3 linked regions of the Saccharomyces cerevisiae S288C genome follow. Changing the gene in region 1 together with any one later gene gives a genetic interaction. Each region holds a gene or a part of one and is shown on either strand. Other genes may lie near its edges.

What was found.
Region 2: of PHO11 (region 1) and KCS1, changing one suppresses a phenotype caused by changing the other (phenotypic suppression), as found in Saccharomyces cerevisiae (one study listed by BioGRID).
Region 3: of PHO11 (region 1) and FOB1, changing one suppresses a phenotype caused by changing the other (phenotypic suppression), as found in Saccharomyces cerevisiae (one study listed by BioGRID).

The regions. Positions count from the first base shown.
Region 1 is NC_001133.9:221,221-229,112, reverse strand, and holds PHO11 (acid phosphatase PHO11), read right to left. Parts: upstream 3,654-7,892; coding exon 2,250-3,653; downstream 1-2,249. Other genes in the region: YAR068W (uncharacterized protein), read right to left, coding at 6,222-6,707; YAR066W (uncharacterized protein), read right to left, coding at 7,453-7,892.
Region 2 is NC_001136.10:476,472-483,821, reverse strand, and holds KCS1 (inositol polyphosphate kinase KCS1), read left to right. Parts: upstream 1-1,554; coding exon 1,555-4,707; downstream 4,708-7,350. Other genes in the region: MLG1 (putative acyltransferase), read left to right, coding at 1-1,152; DAD1 (Dad1p), read left to right, coding at 5,064-5,348; HED1 (Hed1p), read right to left, coding at 5,537-6,025. UniProt on the Saccharomyces cerevisiae protein: Converts inositol hexakisphosphate (InsP6) to diphosphoinositol pentakisphosphate (InsP7/PP-InsP5). Involved in phosphate regulation and polyphosphate accumulation.
Region 3 is NC_001136.10:674,167-680,445, reverse strand, and holds FOB1 (replication fork barrier binding protein FOB1), read right to left. Parts: upstream 4,345-6,279; coding exon 2,644-4,344; downstream 1-2,643. Other genes in the region: alanine transaminase ALT2, read left to right, coding at 682-2,205; YDR109C (putative phosphotransferase), read left to right, coding at 4,779-6,279.

The sequences.
Region 1 (7,892 bases):
ACGACAGCGCCAGAGACACCTTGTGCGACCAAAACACTGTCTGATTCGGAAAAGTAACGGGAGGTAGATGCATTACCTTTGGTACCAGTCTTTTGCATGGCGTCAATGGAGCCCATACCACGATACGCCTTCAATCTTTTACCATCTTGATAGAGATATTCACCTGGTGATTCGGTAGTACCGGCCAACATACCACCCATCATAACAGTAGAAGAACCAAGAGCCAAAGCTTTGGTAATAATATGACCAATGTTTTTGAACACCACCATCAGCCATACATGGAACACCGAATTGGTTAGCAAATTCACACACGTTGTAGACGGCTGTACCTTGTGGCCTACCACAAGCCATAACTTTTTGGGTAATACAAATAGAGCCAGTTCCCATACCAATTCTCAAACCGTCCGCACCGGCAGCAATCAAATTGGCAGCTTGTTCCTTGGTGACAACGTTACCAGCAATGATTTCCAAATCTGGGAAAGTTTCTTTAATCCATTTGATCATGTTCAATTGGAAAATAGAGTTACCTTGAGAGGAATCCAATATGACGACATCCAAGCCAGCTTTTACCAATAATCTTAGTCTTTCTTTATCAGCGTCCATAGTCCCAATAGAAGCACCCCATAACAGTTGCTTGGTGTTGGCAGATTTGGACGCTAATGGGTACTTCTGATTTTTCATTAAATCAGTTCGGGAAAGCATAGAAACTAAGTTACCCTTTTCATCAACAACCAGTAGCCTACCCTTTTTGATTTTCTTTAGAATTTCGTTACCTTCTGATAATGTGATACCTTGTGCGCCGGTAACAGGGTTTTTGGTCATGACATCCTGAACGAGTAAAGAGTTGTCCTCAACGAATTGTATATCACGAGAGGTGATGGCACCCACCAACTTTGCATTTCTCTTTCCATCTGCCGTGACAGGGAAGCCTGCAAATCCATACTTTTCCTTCATGCTCTTAGCTTCACCAACGGTCGTAGTTGGAGAAATCACTATAGGGTTGTTAATAAACCCATTTTCATAGTTCTTGACTCTTCTGACCATGTCAGCTTGGTCCTCTGGAGTACAGTTATGGTGAATGAAACCGATACCATCCAACAGAGCCATAAAAGTGGCCATTTCAGATTCCGTCACAGTGTCCATTGGAGAGGATACTAATGGAATGTTTAAAGTAATATTCCTGGTTAGCTTGGTCTGTAGGCTAACTTCAGAGGACGCAAAATCGACTAAACCTGGTAAGATTAAAAAATCGTTATAAGCCAACCCACCTCTGATCTTGGAGTCCATCAGTTCCTGCACTGACAAACCATCCGGTCTTGGTAGGCTCTTGGTAAGATCTAGTGCGGTCTTGTAGTCTCTAATGGCGGCCATTGCTTTCGCTACTTGTGGAGTTATTAATTGCACATATTATATTTGATTCTTTTAATTTGTAATAAACAAAATGCGTCTATGACAGTTAAAAAGTATTTTTGAAATTGGTTATATAAAAAATGATAAGAAAAGTAAGGCAAGGAATAGAATAGAATACGGAAAAAAAGTTCCCAGCATACTAGGTAAAATGTACTAGCCCACGAAACTGAGAAAAAGCCGCCAAGGGTCTCCGGTTAAATGTTCGGCAAGAAATTTCCATTCGAATTTTTTTCTAAATGTTAAATGGGAAAAGACTCCACTATTTATACTTTTTTTTTTGTTTTTTCCGCTTTCTTCGAGAAGAAGAGATGCGCGGGGTACCTGCGCGGCGCGGCGGTTAGGAAAACCAATAATCTTGAATAAAAAGCAATGTAGAGAACAGACATGGTAGTATATGTACTTATACGGATGTTATTATATAATACTGCGGTCAACCGATCATTTACAGATCATGAGCCACTATATCATCCTACAACATCCGCTTAGTCAATCAATTGCCCTTTTCTTTCACTTCATACTTTTACTCTAGCATCATCTTTAAACGATATTATCATGTACTTGCCCTGACACAATATTAAAACATTGTACCACCTCATGTAAAGGGCATGTCGTGTCTATTGCATTAAATGATGGCGTTGCATATTTCTTATACATATACTCCTATCCTGGTTTTGCTAAAGAATGATAGAGTAATCACATACTGCGCCTTTGTGCTTACCTCTTTGGACTGTGATCGTCATTGCAATTTCGTATTTCTTGCCAGCAAAAGTGAAAAAAAAAAAAAAAAATAAATCGGTATTCATAATTAGTTTCTAAAATTACATAATCATATTATCTATTTACTGTTTTAATAAAGTGTCGTTGTAGTGCTTGGTATTCCAGTCCCAGAAAAAGGTCAATTCAGTAGAGTTACTGACGCTGCTGACGTTACAGACCTTTAGGAAGTCAGTACCGGCTACTCTCTTTTCAGCATAGTCGTAGAAGTCATTTATTTCACAGGAGAACCCTGGACCAGTAGAACAGGTTTCAATTGGAACGACAGCATCGTTGATGACGTATCTAACATAGGTGTCATTGGAACACTGGAACTTTTCAGTGTAAACACGAGCACCTTGTGGAACGTACCAGGATCTGTGGAAAGTGTTTTCCATGAATGGAACATGTTCGGCGGTCAAGTTATTTTTGTCATCGATTATGCCGATAGTGGTCAAATAGTTCAGAATATCGGTATCGTGGGTGAAACTCAACCAAACCTTTTGGTCCTGGACCTCACTTTCCTTTAGTAGTTTCACTGAAGCGTTGAACAAGTTGGCACCGACGGATCTGACGACGTCATAGCCTGGTCCCGTTTGATAATAAGTTTCCAAGTCTTGGCCGTAGGAGAAACGGACCAATTCATCTTTGGTGAAGATGTTACAGATGTCACTGTAACCTCTAGCGTTTATTTCATATGCACACCATGCAAAAAAAGTGTTTGCATCACTTGAAGTCAGATTCAAACCCTTGTTTTCCTTGTTTAATCTCTTGGCAATACCACTCAAATATTTGGTATCATATTTTTTCAAAATGTCATCGTTGACATCATCGTCCCAAGCAGGACACGAATGGTGGGCACTCAGAGTATTGGCACCAGCAGACTCGGCTTCACTGATGGTTTGCAAGGATATGTTGAATTTATCACCCAAACCGTCAATGAAATACTGGGCAGTATCATGACATCTGTTCGAGTTAGACGTAAAAACGGCAAAACTGGTTTGGTTTTCGACCATGTAGCCATATTGCGCCAAGAAATCACGAGCGTGTCTCTTAGCATTCATCTCACCGGTATATGGGTTCAAAACATTGACCGAATTGGCAAGTGTGGTTTCCATTTCTAGGTTTTTGGTGTCACGAATGAAAAATTCGTAGTCATCGTTCAAGAAAGACAATGCTCCGCTGAATTGACCGGTATAGTTACTCAATTTGTACCATGTTGTCATGATACTTTTGGCTTTGCTGACAGTGGGGTATCTTTCACCGTGTCTACCAACCATTTGCACTTGCTTCATTTCACAACTTTCCGGCAAATCACGAGAAATACCATAATCACCAGGGAAAGAGTAGTATGGCCCAGAACCACCCAAAAATGGGAAAATTTCCGTTTGAGTTCCGATTTTGTCAATGTCAGATAACTTTCCGAGGGGTATGGTACCTGCATTAACCAAAGAAGCGGCTAAAATTGAATAAACGGCTGACTTCAACATTGGTATTTCTGATGATGTTCTTGCTCTCTTTGCTGTTGTTGTTCCTCTTCTTCTTCTTCTTCTTCCTACTTTACAACCAAGGCGAAACTGAGCTTGAATCTATCGAAATGTAAGAGCTTATATACGTTTTACTTGGCAATTCGACGCTGTTTATGCTCATTCCAAAACGGGTATAACATATCTGGTGAGATGACCAATTTGGCAATGTGACGTGCGGAATATGGAATCTCTCCGGTAAACAGGGTCTGAAATTCTGTGTAATTTGCCTTTTTAAACCCACGTGTGAACGCCAAGATTGTGCGGCTTCGTTTAGGGATGTGTTCTGTTTTCTATTAACTTTTTACTCTTTCCTTCCTATTTCTTTTTTTTTTTTTTTTTTAGTACACATGAACTACAGAATGTTATGCGAAAACGTGGTAATTTAATAAATACGTGACACAGCGTATAAGAAAAAGCTTATCAAGGTTATCTCTGTCATTAAAACTTTATTAGACACCCACGATGAATGAAACGATGAAAGTAGATATAAGAAGTAGTCGGAAGTGAGAAAGAGAAAATGATAAAAGAACGAAAAAATCCCTTTATTTTCTCATCTTGATGTATAAAATAACTACTATATATTTGTGGCAGAAATCATACCTTTCATTTTTCATCGGCATAGATAATCTTGATTGTTTCACCTTAATACGCTTTTTTCAATGTCGTTTACAAAACAAGCTAGGTTTGCAAGATATCCTGGACTTTTTTTGTAATCTATGTGGCCACAGTATGGTTCGCACTTGCAACATGGTAGAGGCTGCCCAAAAACAAAACCGCATCACCTTTGGCAGCATTTACGTGAAACTCCATCCTCTTGTCAAACTTTGCACAGGAATCGTGTGGGCCCCACGAGTGTGAACCAGTAATTACATGTGCGGCTCTATTGGCATTGTTCATATCTGTAAAAGCAACTCCTGCTCCCAGTACCGTTTCTTTCCGTATTGGAAACGGTCACAGCACCGGTCTTGTAGACAATACCCGAGTTTAGCTAAATGTCACTTGGGCACTTTCTAATGACATTTCCAGCCAAAAGAAGTAATTTTGCTCATTTAAAAAAATAGTTTGCCATATCACAAAACAGTCGGTCGGATAATATCTCCTTCCAACAGTAGGAGAATGGAGGACCACACCCTTGTGGCCATCGTTGTTTTCTTTGGGAATGGTGAACCTTTCCATGTGTCGTTGTCTGTAGAAATGGTGTTCGTGCTGCTTCTTTCATCCACTAGAATTCATGAGGTAGTAGTTCTTATATGTTATAAACTTCAACACGCCACCTGGTCTTGGGGTAATATGAGCAAGAATTTCTCTCTTAAACCGGATATAAGTCTGAGCTTTCTGTTGGATATAATTTCTATAAATGATATATGCATCTACGGTTGCATTGCCCTTACAGTTGTGTTTATTTTATAAATCTACGTTTAGTATAAGAAAATTGTATTGTCGAGTCTTAGCTGAGTTCATATTTATTCAAAAAATTGGCCTAAATGTTATGTCTCTTTCTCGATCCATGAATTATTAGCAACACCGAGAATTGCAGCAGTGATGCTTCACATTAATGCATGTTCCTCCCTGTTGCCTTTTGGTAAAGTCATGGGCATATGATTACTCCGGGCGTCGCGCGGCTGAAGGCGTCTAAAATAAAATGTTCAAAAATGATATTAACTTTCTTATATATCTTAGACCTGCTATTTCTTTCTTCTTTTTTTTTATTTTGTATTCAATTGGTTTTCACTTTCTCGAAACGCAAGGCTTAAATAAATCAAGGACAGATTCGATAGCTTCTTTTGGGACAGTCAGCTCTTCAGAGGTAATTGCATGACTTCATGATTCGCGGAATACGAAATGAAAAGGGAGGTCCGTTTGAGGTAACTCAGTTCTTTACGAATCACATGCAATATTCAGGGTAAAAATCCAAGTTATCTAATTTTTTTTAAACTACCTTTTTCTTTTGTACATCACGTTTCACTATATATTCTACTACATCTATTTTCGGCCCAAAACTACAGCATTTGCAGAAACAAAACGACGCTTTCTGTTCCTGCTGATAGTATTCATGACACATTCCATATTGCATGTTGCATTTAAAACGAAGGGCCAAGCCATGGTCATGTGATTTCCATGTGCGGCAACTTCAAGACTTCTTCTTTTGGGCATAGGAAGACATTAAAAATATTATTTATGCATTATTCTTATGTCGGCTAATAGATTCAAAGAAACCCACGAAAAATTTACCGACCGCGCGAAATAAAAGTAAATGAAAAAAAAAAAAAAAAAAAAAAAAAAAAAAAAAAAAGAAGAATGTGTCTATCTTCATAATGGTGCCTTCGCTAAACCATCTTTTCTGACGCTTTATAGTTCGAACACAGCATTCTTCAACCGCGTAAAGTTAAAATCACTTGAATGTTTACACTGACGTTTATATATTAAAATACTTTCTACTTAGTTATTTTTAGGAAAGTACGGTTACGCACTCATTTTAAAAAAAAGCAAGGATGAAAATACCTGCCAAAGTACTTAAAGCATTGGTTCTCAAACCAGCAGCCATACCTTCGGATTGAACGACAATACCAGTGAAGGTGCTGGAAGCAGCAGTATGAGAAGTTGGAGCAGCAGACTTGGTGACTGTGCTAGTGGCCAATGATGTTTGTTTGGAAGCCTCGGAAGTGACAGTCTTGGTGTTACAGCCGTTGTCGTCACAGTGAGTAACGGTAACAGTAGTGTATGATTTTGGAGAAATGGTGGTTGCTGCAGTTTCTTTAGAACATTCAGAAGTGACAGTCTTGGTGTTACAGCCATTGTTGTCACAGTGAGTAACAGTAACAGTGGTGTATGACTTGGAGGAAACGGTTGCAGTTGCGTCGGTAGCAGTTGGTGCTGGAACATGGCATCCGTTTTCGTCACAAGATGTGATGGTGGCAGTGGTAGATGAGCATGGGACAGTTGTGGTAATGGTGTAAATGTTACCGCTAGCGTCGGTTGTTTCTGAACAGGAAACCACGACTGTACTTGTGGCATTCAAGTAAGTTAATGTAGTAGTGTAGACAGAAGCGGAACCTGAGGTGAAGCTGGTGGCGGATGCAGCGGATGCAGTAGAAGTAGTGGAAGCGGTGGAAGCAGTAGAAGCGATTGAACCAGATGCTGTAGTGGAGTTTGAGACACCAGAGATAGAGGCGCTAGATGAAGGAATTATTGAGTCTGGGGCGCTAGAAGAGATCGTAGAAGAGACGGTGGTAGAAGCGTTAGAGGATAAAGTGACTGAACCAGTGGCAGTAGAGACAACACCAGAGGTAGTGGATGCGGATGTGGATGCGGCGCTTGTAGCGATGACACCGTCATAGTTTAGGTAATATGAGTAGGCGCCTGCGAAGATTCCTTCGGAGACACTGAAGCCAGAACTAGAGAATCCAGTACCAATTTCAAAAGAGAATTGTCTGTTACCTTGGGTTGCAGTTAAGACACCAGTAGTACCGTCGTAAGAAAGAGCAGTGATGTCGGCGGTAATGGCAATTTGGTTCTTACCGGTGTAGCCAACAACAGGAATAGGAGTGGCGTTGGTTTCGGTTGGGTCAACGGCAAGAACACCTTCACCCTTGAATACAACAGTTTGGCCAGTAAAGGTGTCAGGGTAGTGCAAGTATAGGTTACCAGAGACGATGTTGATTGTACCGTTTCCAGAAACTGGTTCAACGATAACATAGGTACTTCCATTGTCTAGGTTGATTTCACCGTTATTTACAGAGCCTTCATCGTCGTCTCTACGTTACAAACCGGAAACAGAACCACCGTTGAGAATAGCATTTGACAAAGAAAAGGTACCAGCGTTAGAGTATGGAGAAAAGGTGACTTCACCCTTCTTGGCCTTTGACAAACTCAAAGAAATGTCACCGCTGCTCTTGAACGAGCTAGGTGTGAATGAATAGATAGATGCGGAGACAGCGCCAGTTTCTTCAGCACTGAAGTTACCGGAAACTTCAAAAGTCTCACCAGAAACGTCGAACGCGGTACCTTCGTAGCTTGCTTCAGACTTTTCGACAACCAAATCACCGTGAACTTTTAGATCAGATGAGAAGACGTATTTTTCACCGTCAAGTAAAGTCAACTTACCACCGGCAGCGACTTCCACGGCCTCGGTTGCAATTACTTTACCAGTAACTGTGAGATCACCGCTAATTGTTGTGGATGGCAAATAAACGGTACCGT
Region 2 (7,350 bases), on another chromosome or scaffold:
GAAAAGACTGGTAATCCCTTTATAAAAGGGTTGCAAAGGCTGCTTATCGCTTGCTTGTTCATTTCAGGCTCGCTGAGTATTGTCGTTTTTCAGATCTGTCTACAGGTGCTTCTCCCTTGGAGCAAGATTAGATTTCAAAATGGTATAAATCAAAGTAAGAAGGCTTTTATCGTTTTATTATGCATGATCTTGAACATGGTGGCTCCCTCTTCTTTGAATGTCACTTTTGAAACATCGCGGCCATTGAAGAACTCTTCTAACGCCAAGCCATGCTTTAGATTTAAAGACAGGGCTATAATAATTGCAAATCATCAAATGTATGCAGACTGGATTTATCTCTGGTGGCTTTCCTTTGTTTCAAATTTGGGTGGTAACGTTTATATCATCCTGAAGAAAGCTCTGCAGTACATACCATTACTGGGATTTGGCATGCGAAATTTTAAGTTTATATTTTTAAGTAGGAACTGGCAAAAGGATGAGAAAGCTTTAACAAATAGTTTGGTTTCTATGGACTTAAACGCGAGGTGCAAGGGGCCCCTTACAAATTATAAGAGTTGTTATTCCAAGACAAATGAATCCATTGCCGCTTATAATTTAATCATGTTCCCTGAGGGTACAAATCTAAGCCTCAAGACAAGAGAAAAAAGCGAGGCATTCTGTCAAAGAGCACATTTGGACCATGTCCAATTAAGACATTTGTTATTACCGCACTCTAAAGGCTTGAAGTTTGCAGTAGAAAAACTAGCTCCTAGTTTAGATGCTATCTACGATGTCACTATTGGATATTCTCCCGCCTTGAGAACGGAATACGTCGGCACCAAATTCACCTTGAAGAAAATATTCTTAATGGGTGTCTATCCGGAGAAAGTAGATTTTTATATTAGGGAATTTAGAGTTAATGAGATCCCTTTGCAAGATGACGAAGTTTTTTTCAATTGGTTACTGGGCGTGTGGAAAGAAAAAGATCAACTGCTAGAAGACTACTACAACACAGGCCAATTTAAAAGTAATGCTAAAAATGACAACCAATCCATCGTTGTTACGACACAAACGACTGGATTTCAGCACGAAACATTGACACCCCGTATCCTTTCATATTACGGGTTCTTCGCTTTTCTTATTCTTGTATTTGTGATGAAAAAAAATCATTGATTTAACCTTAAACCAAACATAATTAAACCTGTATTTCATATATTATTTCCACTTAGCTTAGCCATCCACAACGGTAAAGTTACAAATATATAAGTAATAGTTGCTTTCATAAAAATTATTAACACTTCTTTCGAACTCATCGCAGAAGTGTCGCCGGCCCCTCAACTTCGCGCCGTATCGCTTTTTTTTTTTTTTTTCAATACAGGATCAAGACGAAAAACACTTTTCTGTTCTTGTTTGTCTCTGTTGGTTGGATTATATCTCCAACAAAAGGGAAAATCCCAGTTTGACCTTATTATATTAGAATTGTCTTTTGTCTTCTTTCTTTCATTTTGTACATCTTTCTGTCTTCTCAAATCTTTTTTTTATTTTTTGTATATATAAAACTAAAGCTAAAAGACTATGGATACCTCTCACGAAATTCATGATAAAATACCCGATACATTAAGAGAGCAGCAGCAGCATTTGCGCCAAAAAGAGTCGGAAGGGTGCATAACAACATTGAAAGATCTTAATGTACCTGAGACGAAGAAACTTTCCTCCGTCTTACATGGCAGAAAGGCGAGTACATATTTAAGAATTTTTAGAGATGATGAATGTTTAGCCGATAACAACAATGGTGTAGATAGCAATAATGGCGGGTCCGTGACATGCGCGGACAAAATAACAAGGTCAGAAGCAACTCCCAAATCGGTACCAGAAGGACTACAAGTTTCTGAAAAAAAGAATAACCCAGATACTTTGTCCTCTTCATTGTCAAGTTTCATTTTATCTAACCACGAGGAGCCGGCAATTAAGCCCAATAAACACGTGGCGCATAGAAATAATATTACTGAGACAGGTCAAGGCTCTGGTGAGGATATCGCAAAACAACAATCACACCAACCACAGGTGTTACACCACCAGACTTCTTTAAAGCCAATTCAGAATGTTGATGAGGGATGTATTTCGCCTAAGTCCACTTATCAGGAGAGCTTACATGGAATATCGGAGGACTTAACGTTAAAGCCTGTTTCTTCTGCAACATACTATCCTCACAAAAGTAAAGCAGATTCTGGTTATGAAGAAAAGGATAAAATGGAAAATGATATTGATACTATTCAGCCTGCCACCATAAATTGTGCCTCTGGTATAGCGACACTTCCTAGTTCATATAACCGACATACTTTCAAAGTTAAGACATATTCAACTTTATCACAATCCCTAAGGCAAGAAAACGTCAACAATCGTAGTAACGAAAAAAAACCTCAACAGTTTGTGCCACATAGCGAATCAATTAAAGAAAAACCCAATACGTTTGAACAAGATAAAGAAGGCGAGCAAGCGGACGAAGAAGAGGATGAAGGTGATAATGAACATAGGGAATATCCCCTAGCAGTTGAACTAAAACCATTTACGAATAGAGTTGGAGGTCACACTGCAATATTCAGATTTTCGAAGAGAGCGGTTTGTAAGGCTCTAGTGAATAGAGAAAACAGGTGGTATGAGAATATAGAGCTGTGCCATAAAGAATTATTGCAATTCATGCCACGTTATATTGGTGTCCTGAATGTTAGGCAACATTTTCAGTCAAAAGATGACTTTTTAAGCGATTTGGATCAAGAAAACAACGGTAAAAATGATACCAGTAATGAAAACAAAGACATAGAAGTCAATCATAACAATAACGACGATATTGCGCTTAATACAGAACCCACGGGGACCCCCTTAACACACATACATTCCTTCCCCTTGGAACATTCGTCGAGACAAGTACTTGAAAAAGAGCATCCTGAAATTGAGTCTGTCCATCCACACGTGAAAAGATCACTGTCAAGTTCCAACCAACCTTCCTTGTTGCCCGAGGTTGTATTAAATGATAACAGGCATATTATACCGGAATCTCTGTGGTACAAATATTCCGATTCTCCAAACTCGGCACCGAATGATTCGTACTTTTCGTCCTCCTCTTCTCATAACTCATGTTCGTTCGGTGAGCGTGGCAATACAAATAAATTAAAAAGACGCGATTCTGGGTCCACCATGATCAATACTGAATTGAAGAACCTAGTCATAAGGGAAGTATTTGCACCGAAATGTTTTAGAAGGAAAAGAAACTCTAATACGACTACAATGGGAAACCATAATGCGCGTTTGGGTTCCAGTCCATCTTTTTTAACACAAAAATCAAGAGCCTCGTCCCATGATGCATCGAATACGTCTATGAAGACTCTTGGTGATTCATCGTCACAAGCGAGTTTACAGATGGATGACTCGAAAGTCAATCCGAATTTGCAGGATCCTTTCTTGAAAAAATCGCTTCATGAAAAAATATCTAATGCTTTAGATGGCTCGCATTCAGTAATGGATTTGAAGCAATTCCACAAAAACGAACAAATAAAACATAAAAACTCTTTCTGCAACTCTTTATCACCCATTCTCACTGCAACCAATTCTAGAGATGATGGCGAATTTGCCACCTCCCCGAATTATATCAGCAACGCACAAGATGGTGTTTTTGATATGGATGAAGATACGGGAAACGAAACTATAAATATGGATAACCACGGCTGCCATCTTGACTCTGGTAAAAACATGATTATAAAGTCATTGGCGTATAATGTTTCAAATGACTATAGTCATCATGATATTGAATCAATTACGTTTGAGGAGACGTCCCACACCATTGTTTCAAAATTTATCTTATTGGAAGATTTGACAAGAAACATGAACAAGCCTTGTGCACTGGATCTAAAGATGGGGACAAGACAATATGGCGTAGACGCCAAAAGAGCCAAGCAACTGTCACAGCGTGCAAAGTGTTTAAAGACCACTTCTAGGCGTTTAGGCGTTAGAATCTGCGGATTAAAGGTTTGGAACAAAGATTATTATATCACAAGAGATAAATACTTTGGTAGAAGGGTTAAGGTTGGTTGGCAATTTGCTAGGGTACTTGCACGTTTTTTGTATGATGGTAAGACCATTGAAAGTTTAATCAGGCAAATTCCAAGGTTGATCAAGCAACTAGATACTTTGTATTCTGAAATTTTTAATTTGAAAGGTTACAGGCTATATGGCGCGTCTTTATTACTAATGTACGATGGAGATGCTAATAAATCAAATTCTAAAAGGAAAAAAGCTGCTAATGTTAAAGTCAACTTGATCGATTTTGCACGTTGTGTTACTAAAGAAGATGCAATGGAATGTATGGATAAATTTCGTATACCCCCAAAATCGCCAAATATAGAAGATAAAGGGTTCTTACGAGGTGTGAAGAGCTTGAGGTTTTATCTGTTATTAATCTGGAATTATCTGACTTCTGATATGCCGTTAATTTTCGATGAAGTAGAGATGAATGATATGATTAGCGAAGAAGCAGATTCGAATAGTTTCACCTCCGCCACCGGTTCGAAAATCAACTTCAACAGTAAGTGGGATTGGTTAGATGAATTTGACAAAGAAGACGAAGAAATGTATAATGATCCAAATAGTAAACTAAGACAAAAATGGAGAAAATACGAGCTTATTTTCGACGCTGAACCAAGATACAATGACGATGCTCAAGTTAGTGATTGAAAAGAAAGGATAGAACTAATGAATATTCTTTTAGCTGCGCTTATTTCAGTCCGTAAATGCATTTATCTATTCGTAACTATCATTATTTTGATTGCATAATCCAATAAATACACAAACGAGCATAGCATATATAACTATATATATGAAAAGACAAACGAATTTGTACGTGTATGAATATGACTACACGGTTATAGGCGATCACTAGAACCATTGAGCGGAAAGGGCCACCTCCGGGTAAAAGTCAAGGCCGCGAAAATAACAAAGGGAATAAACAGTCACCTTTAACAAGAGGAGGTAGTAATTAGCGTAGGAATAGGACTGATGAAGAGCTCGGACGTGTGAGGATATATGTACATATGATGGCTAGTACATCCAATGATGAAGAAAAGTTGATATCAACCACTGACAAATACTTCATCGAGCAGAGGAATATAGTATTGCAGGAGATCAATGAGACTATGAATTCAATCTTGAATGGTCTGAATGGTCTCAATATATCATTGGAGAGCTCGATAGCTGTGGGAAGAGAATTCCAGTCAGTTTCTGATTTGTGGAAAACACTTTATGATGGGTTGGAAAGTTTATCAGACGAAGCGCCCATCGACGAGCAACCTACTTTATCTCAATCGAAAACGAAGTAAAGTTGCGGTTCCCTCTGTCTCTCCTAATATTATCCTAAATTTATGTTTACAGTCGCAAATTAGATAAAGGATACGTAAGATATAAATTGTAATTTTAGCCTAATGATAAGTAAGTTGTGGACAACTTTTGCACGTTGAAAAAAGTGGAGGGCCACCGAACTCTTTTTCAAACGTTCTCCTCTTTGAACTTAGTTGTCTACCGTTTTGGATGGTAATAGCTGTTTCTTGGATAGACCTACCTTATATTTAACCTTGTTAGAATCCACCTGATAGAATGTCTTGTTCGTTTCATATATCAAGTCCTTTAGGCTCTTCTTCTTCCTTGGAGGGCTTTTCTTCATTGAAGGTGGTGGTTGTAGCCTGTCAAGCTCTTTCGAGGGACCTCCTTGGTATTGATCTTGTTCTCTTACTCCTTTTTTGGCGTCCAGATAAGCACCCCCATTGGGGCTTCCGCCACCTGTGTTCTCAGACAGATTTTTGGCACGAAGTTGTTGTTTTTCCAATTCCAAATTAAACAGTCTTCTTTCTACAACGTTGATGTTGACTATGGGAGAAGTCGTAATAGACCTTTTGTTCTTTCTTGCTGGAGCAACTTCGGTGCACAAGCTCTTTTCGGCATTATTATGTACCCCGAGTGGTATATAGGAGCAGCTTCTCCTATTTGATCTTTGTTGCATCGTCTTGATTTCTCTCTTTCGTTCGTCTCTGACATGTAGTTGTAATTCAAGAATTTAACCTGGGCGGCTATCTTAATAAATAGTGCATTACTCAAGCAAAAATCAGAAACCACGTACGCTAATTAAAGCCGTGAAAAACGAAAATATAAATATGCGAGAGTATACATTAAAATATTGTACATGTTAGCGACGCAGATTTATACCTCGCCATTTTTAGTCTTGAATTGAGGTGATCTTTTATTAAAGAGCATATCACCTCGGCAAGAACCCAGGTCTATTACACAAGTGGCAAGGCAAAGTGTGCATAATAAATATGTAATATAGTTACTTGCATTTTTTAATCTCTTGAGGTTATTATTCCTCATGTTGTCTAACTTCCAAGCAACTAGGAGTGATAAACACGTCGTCTTTAGGAATGGTGAACATTGGCAGTTATGGCCATTCAGAATGAATTTCAAGAGAAAAAGGATGCACCTTGCATGAAGTACCAAGAAAATAGACAAATCCGCTGGAGAAATTGGTATTGTTACTATAATTCTTATTCCCGATGTTCCAAGCAGGCATTCACATGCATCAGTTGAAAGGTATATAAGTACTACTTCAATATATCTATCAGCTCTGGGAAAATGCTTCAAGAAGGAAAAATGATAAGTAAACTATCCTTTAACGCCTCATGATTATTGAATAGCCTATACATGCAGAGATTAAATTTGATCCAACACCAGTAAATCCTTAGTTAAGTCATCGCATGCATGTTTACCATACATTCACTACTATTTGTGTACGGAAGACCAAATAAGATAAACCATAATGCTGGTCTCCTTCCATTTACTAACATACGTAATTGCTCCTACTGCCGTTCAGCCTAACCTACTCACACATTCTGATGGTGATCATGCAATCTTTGAGTGAATATGTTGACTAAAAGAACATTAAGCTTTATTTTTTTGGCGTGACCAGCGGGTACTGCGATTCTTTGACTTTGTTTTCTACTGTATCACTGGAAATTGATTGAATAATTAACCAATTTAAAGTAACAATAACACAGTATCACAAAAAGTCACCTGATGGACCTTATGGGATATAGAATTTTTACCCGCCGAGTTTCAAGACTCTGCGGTATATTAATTACCATCAGTACATTATTAATGAATATATTAACCTTTTTTCGTATGTTTATTAATATACTATTTTTATTGCATTGTTATATCGTCTACCCGAAGTACTCTAGGCTTCCTATGCCTCGAAAAAAAGGTTTTAGTCTTTCAGTTTTTTAAGCCCTTTCAACCTTTTTTAAAAGGTGCGGAGATCCTGCTCATATTTTT
Region 3 (6,279 bases), on another chromosome or scaffold:
ACTTTATAACATACAATTCTGGTTAAAAGCGGTTGCTCCTGCCGCCGGGATTTAATCTGCGGCCTCACCCATACCTCAACTACCGCCATTGTTCGTACGTTTTAAATGGCTTCGCTTCACCCTTGATTGGCAAAGGGTCCAAGAGGGATCACATCACGATACTATTGTTTCTACTAATGTGCTGCGGGCTGATGTCCTCCACACGTCTTCAATTGCTTCTCTTTATGGGTTCTCAAAGTACTTCGTCATAATTACTTCATTATACCTAAGAAAATAATTTCATTTTTTTTCTGAATTTTTTAGCAGAAAAAAAAAAAGTTCAAGTTTGGCCTCATTCGCAATATTTTCTCCATGGAAACGGCTTGTATCTTGAGGCTTCTCCTACTTGTTTGGCGATTTTATTTTATTTTTCCTACTCTTATGGTCCCATATGTACATCTACATATCTCTTCAAATTACCAATACACTTTTAGGATAGCTAAATTTACTACTTCGTGTGGGAACTATATTCTGTTCACTTTTCTTTTTGATCCTTTCTTGACTGACATCATCCTTTTCTCATTCAGTAAATACCCCAATATTTCCTCATATCTCTAGAGGCATAAAAGATAAGAATAAAGGGAAGGAGCGCCACAGTAGTGTTGTTTTTGTAAGTGGTAAACACAGAAGAAGTAAGAACACATGACAATGACACACCAACAGGATTTGAAAGGTGTGTTCACCGCAAAGGATTTGGATTTTAAGCCCGCTGGCAAGATTACTAAAAAAGATTTGAATACAGGTGTCACTAAGGCAGAATATGCTGTAAGAGGAGCTATTCCAACCAGAGCTGACGAGCTAAAAGAGGAATTGAAAAAAAACCCAGAAGTTTTGCCTTTCGATGATATTATCAATGCGAACATTGGTAATCCGCAGCAACTGGATCAGAAGCCTTTGACCTTTACCAGGCAAGTACTGGCCATCCTGGAGTACCCGGAAATTTTACGAGTAGGCCATAATGAACTGGCTTCTTTGAACTTGTTTTCCAGGGACGCCTTGGAAAGAGCTGAGCGCCTCTTGAATGATATTGGCGGTTCTATAGGGGCATATTCGCATTCTCAAGGTGTGCCAGGAATAAGGCAAACAGTTGCTGACTTCATTACTAGAAGAGACGGCGGTGAGCCCGCTACACCGGAAGATATTTATTTAACCACTGGCGCTTCGTCCGCGGCAACTTCTTTGTTATCTTTATTGTGTAAAGATTCTCAAACAGGCCTGCTGATTCCAATTCCGCAGTATCCGCTTTATACTGCATCCGCATCTCTTTTCAATGCACAAGTGCTGCCATACTACTTAGATGAGGAGTCAAATTGGTCTACAAACAGCGACGAAATTGAAAAAGTAGTGCAAGATGCTTTGAAAAAACAGATCAGACCATCTGTGCTGATAGTTATTAATCCAGGTAACCCAACCGGTGCAGTTCTTTCTGAAGAAACCATTGCCAGGATCTGTTTGATCGCTGCGAAATACGGCATTACAATCATTTCTGATGAGGTCTATCAAGAAAACATTTTCAACGATGTTAAATTTCATTCGATGAAGAAAGTCCTAAGAAAATTGCAGCATCTTTATCCAGGAAAATTCGATAACGTTCAGCTCGCCTCTTTACACTCCATTTCTAAAGGATTCATGGATGAGTGCGGCCAAAGAGGCGGTTACATGGAAATTATTGGGTTTTCTCAAGAAATAAGAGATGCTCTTTTCAAACTCATGTCTATATCCATATGTTCTGTTGTCACAGGACAAGCTGTGGTTGATTTAATGGTCAAACCACCCCAGCCTGGAGACGAGTCCTATGAACAAGATCATGACGAAAGGCTGAAAATTTTTCATGAAATGCGTACGAGAGCAAACTTATTGTACGAGACGTTTAAGGAACTAGAGGGTATCGAATGCCAAAAACCTCAGGGTGCAATGTATCTTTTCCCTAGGCTTGTTTTACCTAAGAAAGCTCTTTGTGAAAGCGAACGCCTTGGCATCGAACCTGATGAGTTCTATTGCACATCTTTGCTAGAATCTACAGGTATTTGTACTGTCCCAGGGTCTGGGTTCGGACAAAGACCCGGGACTTATCATGTGCGAACAACGTTTTTGGCTCCAGGGACTAAATGGATTCAAGACTGGAAAGAATTTCATCAAGATTTCTTCAGCAAGTATCGTAATTGAATGAAAAAAAAAAACTAATGATAATGGCTTTCTATTTGTTTTGCATCCATGGTGGGGGTGAAGTTTAAATTTGTAATAGTATACATGCATCATTCTTTACTAAGGGAAATAAGGAAAAGTATATATCTGCCTCTTGTAATATTGTTCAAGGAAATAAATTTTGGAGCATTCCTCTGCATCTATTGTTCAATTAAAAAAAAAAAAAAAAAAAAAAAAAAAAAAAAAAAGTAATTATTCATATAAAACCACCTTGCGGGCAAGATCATATTATCCAAGTTGATACTTATTTAAAAATATAAAAATTTTTTAACCGCGTACATTAAATACAGGGTCATATACAGGAAGAGCTTTCAACACCTTTTTGAATACTTTATATGCAATAGGTGCTTTTTTTTTTCACCTATGGTGACTCCTCCTTTCATTCTATCCTACATATTATTACAATTCCATTGATGTGCCAAAGTCTCTTGTTTGATCTCCATTACCCTGTTGGTCTAATTTCTGTCGTTTTGTTGACGGCGATTCCAGAGTTTGATAGTAGGAAGTTTCTGGTCTAGTTATTTCGACACTTTGATCTACTTGTGATGCACCGTCACTTTCTTTTTGATCCCCTTTTTCAGGCTCTTCTGTTCCCTGCATTGGGGCTGCCACGCCGGTGGACTCTATTCGGTCCTCATCGACATTATGAGGAGGCTTTTCTTCGGGAGTTAAGGTATTAGGTTCAAATTCGCCCTCTGAAGAATCATGTGCCAAATCATCATACTCATCGATATAGTTTTTTTCAGTTAGATCAAATTGTTTTTGCACTTCTTCTTCAAAGTTATCATTTCCTATATTGTTATTATGAAGAATTCCATTATTGTTACAGCTATTATCCGCTTCATTAGCAAGGGCAAAAGTATTGACATCTTCCAAATATATAAGACCTTTTCCACCTGCCATCTTGAACATATTACGGGAATATGTGTTTTCTATAACCCTTTCTCTCTTAGTCTCAAACTTGGCATTGTGACCTGGAACTTCACTAAGTAGTACTTGCACAGGTTTACGTTTCGTTCTCTTATTTCTCCTTCGGTTGAATCTGTAAGGGCCATATCTTAGGCACTTACCCCAATCGGCTAGACATTCCTTCTTATAACTATTTAGAGCATACTGAATGCACAGTATACCCCCAGTATGAAATCTCGCAGAACTCTTCAAACCCAAGCCAATACGGAGACCGTATTTTGATGCAATTTCTTCACAAATATCATAAAGATCATCTTTATCTAAAGTGCTTGATGTTACGAAAATTGGAACCCTAGCAAATGTTAAAAAAAGTGAGGAAACAACTGGGATAAGATGTTTGAATTTGGTACTCTTAAGTGGTAATAACCACATAAAACTAGAGCGATAGTCTCGGCATAAAAGGACATAAGAATATTTTCCCTCAATAGCTTCTCCATTGAAGGGTTCGAATACCTCAATATGTATCCTTTCCATTGGTAGTAGTTTATCGTACATGTCAGGACGTTTATATTCCTTCAATGGTTTAATTTTGCCCTTTTTATTACATTTTGAACAAAATTGCTGGACCCAATCGATGATGGCATGACTAATATTGGCAAAATGAGAAAATAAAAAGGAATGTAATGTTTTACCCCTAAGATGCTTATTCATCAAGTGTGTTGCCATCACCATGTCGTATACATGCTTTGGCTCACAGTATATTTTATCATTATTTCGGCCATCTCTAACATTTCCTTCATCATCAACATAATACTGTCTTTGCAAAAATAACAGCTTGTTTTCTGCCACTACACCATCGTATTTATCACTTATTTGTTGCAAGGTATCTGCAGTTAAAGATTTTGTTTTTATTAGTTCATATATTTTCTGCGTTAGTTGTCTTGTCAGAGATTCAAGAAAGATTGGTGTTTCTCTTTCTCCCCTTTCCAATAATTCTAAGTTCAAATAAGAGTCTACGTACTCAGTATATGATTCCCCCATAGAGGGAAGTATCAGTAGACGATCTTTTGAGGACTCTCTTGATTCCCCAGGTGACGTTGCCTTTCTTCTCTGCGATTTCCTCGTAACTGATTCTGATGGTACCGAGTCATCATCATCAAACAACACGTCATTGTAACGCGGTTTCGTCATTGTTATCCTCAGCACAAATTCACACTCACACAATCGTTAAATTGTTCTCCCCCCTGAAGGCTTAATTCAATGTCGTTAAAATGAATACATGCGATGAGGAATCACCTCGCAATTTTTTTTTCTTTTCAATATATCGCGAAAAAGAAAAAATATCAGTATTATCATGTAAATAATTATGGCTGACACCTCATATTGAATGTGGGGGTAAAGATACTCTGGGTTTCTTGTTTTGATATATATAAGCTCTTCCTGGAAACCTCGATCACAATGTTAGGTATGATGAAGAAATTGAACCTTTATAACACCCGTTTGACTAAATGCTACAGACCAGTATTAGTAAATGTGGAAAGCTGCACACCCAGACCGCTGAGTACAATGAAAAGATGTAAAGAGACGAAGGAACAAACATCTGCAAAGTACATTATTAAGGCTATATGAAAAGCAGGAAACGCCAAAACAATATGCAAAATGAAACACGGGAGCCAGCGGTATTGTCGTCACAGGAAACCTCGATTTCTCGCATTTCTCCACAAGATCCAGAAGCAAAATTCTACGTTGGTGTAGATGTCGGAACAGGCTCTGCAAGGGCATGTGTTATCGATCAATCTGGTAACATGTTGTCGCTAGCAGAAAAACCCATAAAAAGGGAACAATTGATATCCAATTTTATTACTCAGTCTTCAAGAGAAATCTGGAATGCAGTTTGCTATTGTGTTAGAACTGTTGTTGAAGAATCAGGAGTTGACCCTGAAAGAGTTCGTGGAATTGGTTTTGATGCGACTTGTTCCTTAGTAGTCGTATCCGCTACCAATTTTGAAGAAATTGCAGTTGGACCGGATTTTACCAATAATGACCAGAATATCATATTATGGATGGACCATAGGGCGATGAAGGAGACTGAAGAAATCAACTCATCTGGTGATAAATGTTTAAAATATGTGGGAGGGCAAATGTCTGTTGAAATGGAAATTCCGAAGATTAAGTGGTTGAAGAACAACTTAGAAGCTGGAATTTTTCAGGATTGTAAGTTTTTTGACCTTCCGGATTACTTGACTTTCAAAGCCACGGGAAAAGAGAATAGGTCATTTTGTTCTGCTGTTTGTAAGCAGGGATTTCTACCAGTGGGTGTCGAAGGTTCCGATATAGGCTGGTCCAAAGAATTCTTAAATTCAATTGGGCTTTCAGAGCTTACGAAGAATGATTTTGAAAGACTGGGTGGATCGTTAAGGGAAAAAAAAAACTTTCTGACCGCAGGTGAATGTATCAGCCCGTTAGATAAAAAGGCTGCCTGTCAATTAGGCTTGACAGAGCATTGTGTAGTAAGTTCAGGAATTATTGATGCATATGCAGGCTGGGTAGGGACGGTAGCCGCCAAGCCGGAATCAGCAGTAAAAGGTCTTGCCGAGACCGAAAATTATAAAAAGGATTTCAATGGTGCAATTGGCAGATTGGCAGCTGTTGCCGGTACGTCTACGTGTCATATTTTGTTATCAAAAAACCCTATATTTGTCCATGGCGTTTGGGGGCCTTATAGAGATGTCCTTGCAAGAGGCTTTTGGGCGGCAGAAGGCGGCCAAAGCTGTACAGGCGTTCTTTTAGATCATTTAATAACGACGCATCCAGCTTTCACTGAGCTATCCCATATGGCTAATTTGGCAGGTGTGTCGAAATTCGAATATTTAAACAAAATACTTGAAACCTTGGTCGAGAAGCGCAAAGTAAGATCTGTTATTTCTTTAGCTAAGCACTTGTTTTTTTATGGTGACTATCACGGTAATCGATCACCGATAGCAGATCCGAATATGCGCGCTTGTATTATAGGACAATCTATGGATAACTCAATTGAAGACTTAGCGGTTATGTATTTGAGTGCCTGTGAATTCATATCACAACAAACAAGACAAATCATTGAAGTAATGCTAAAAAGTGGGCATG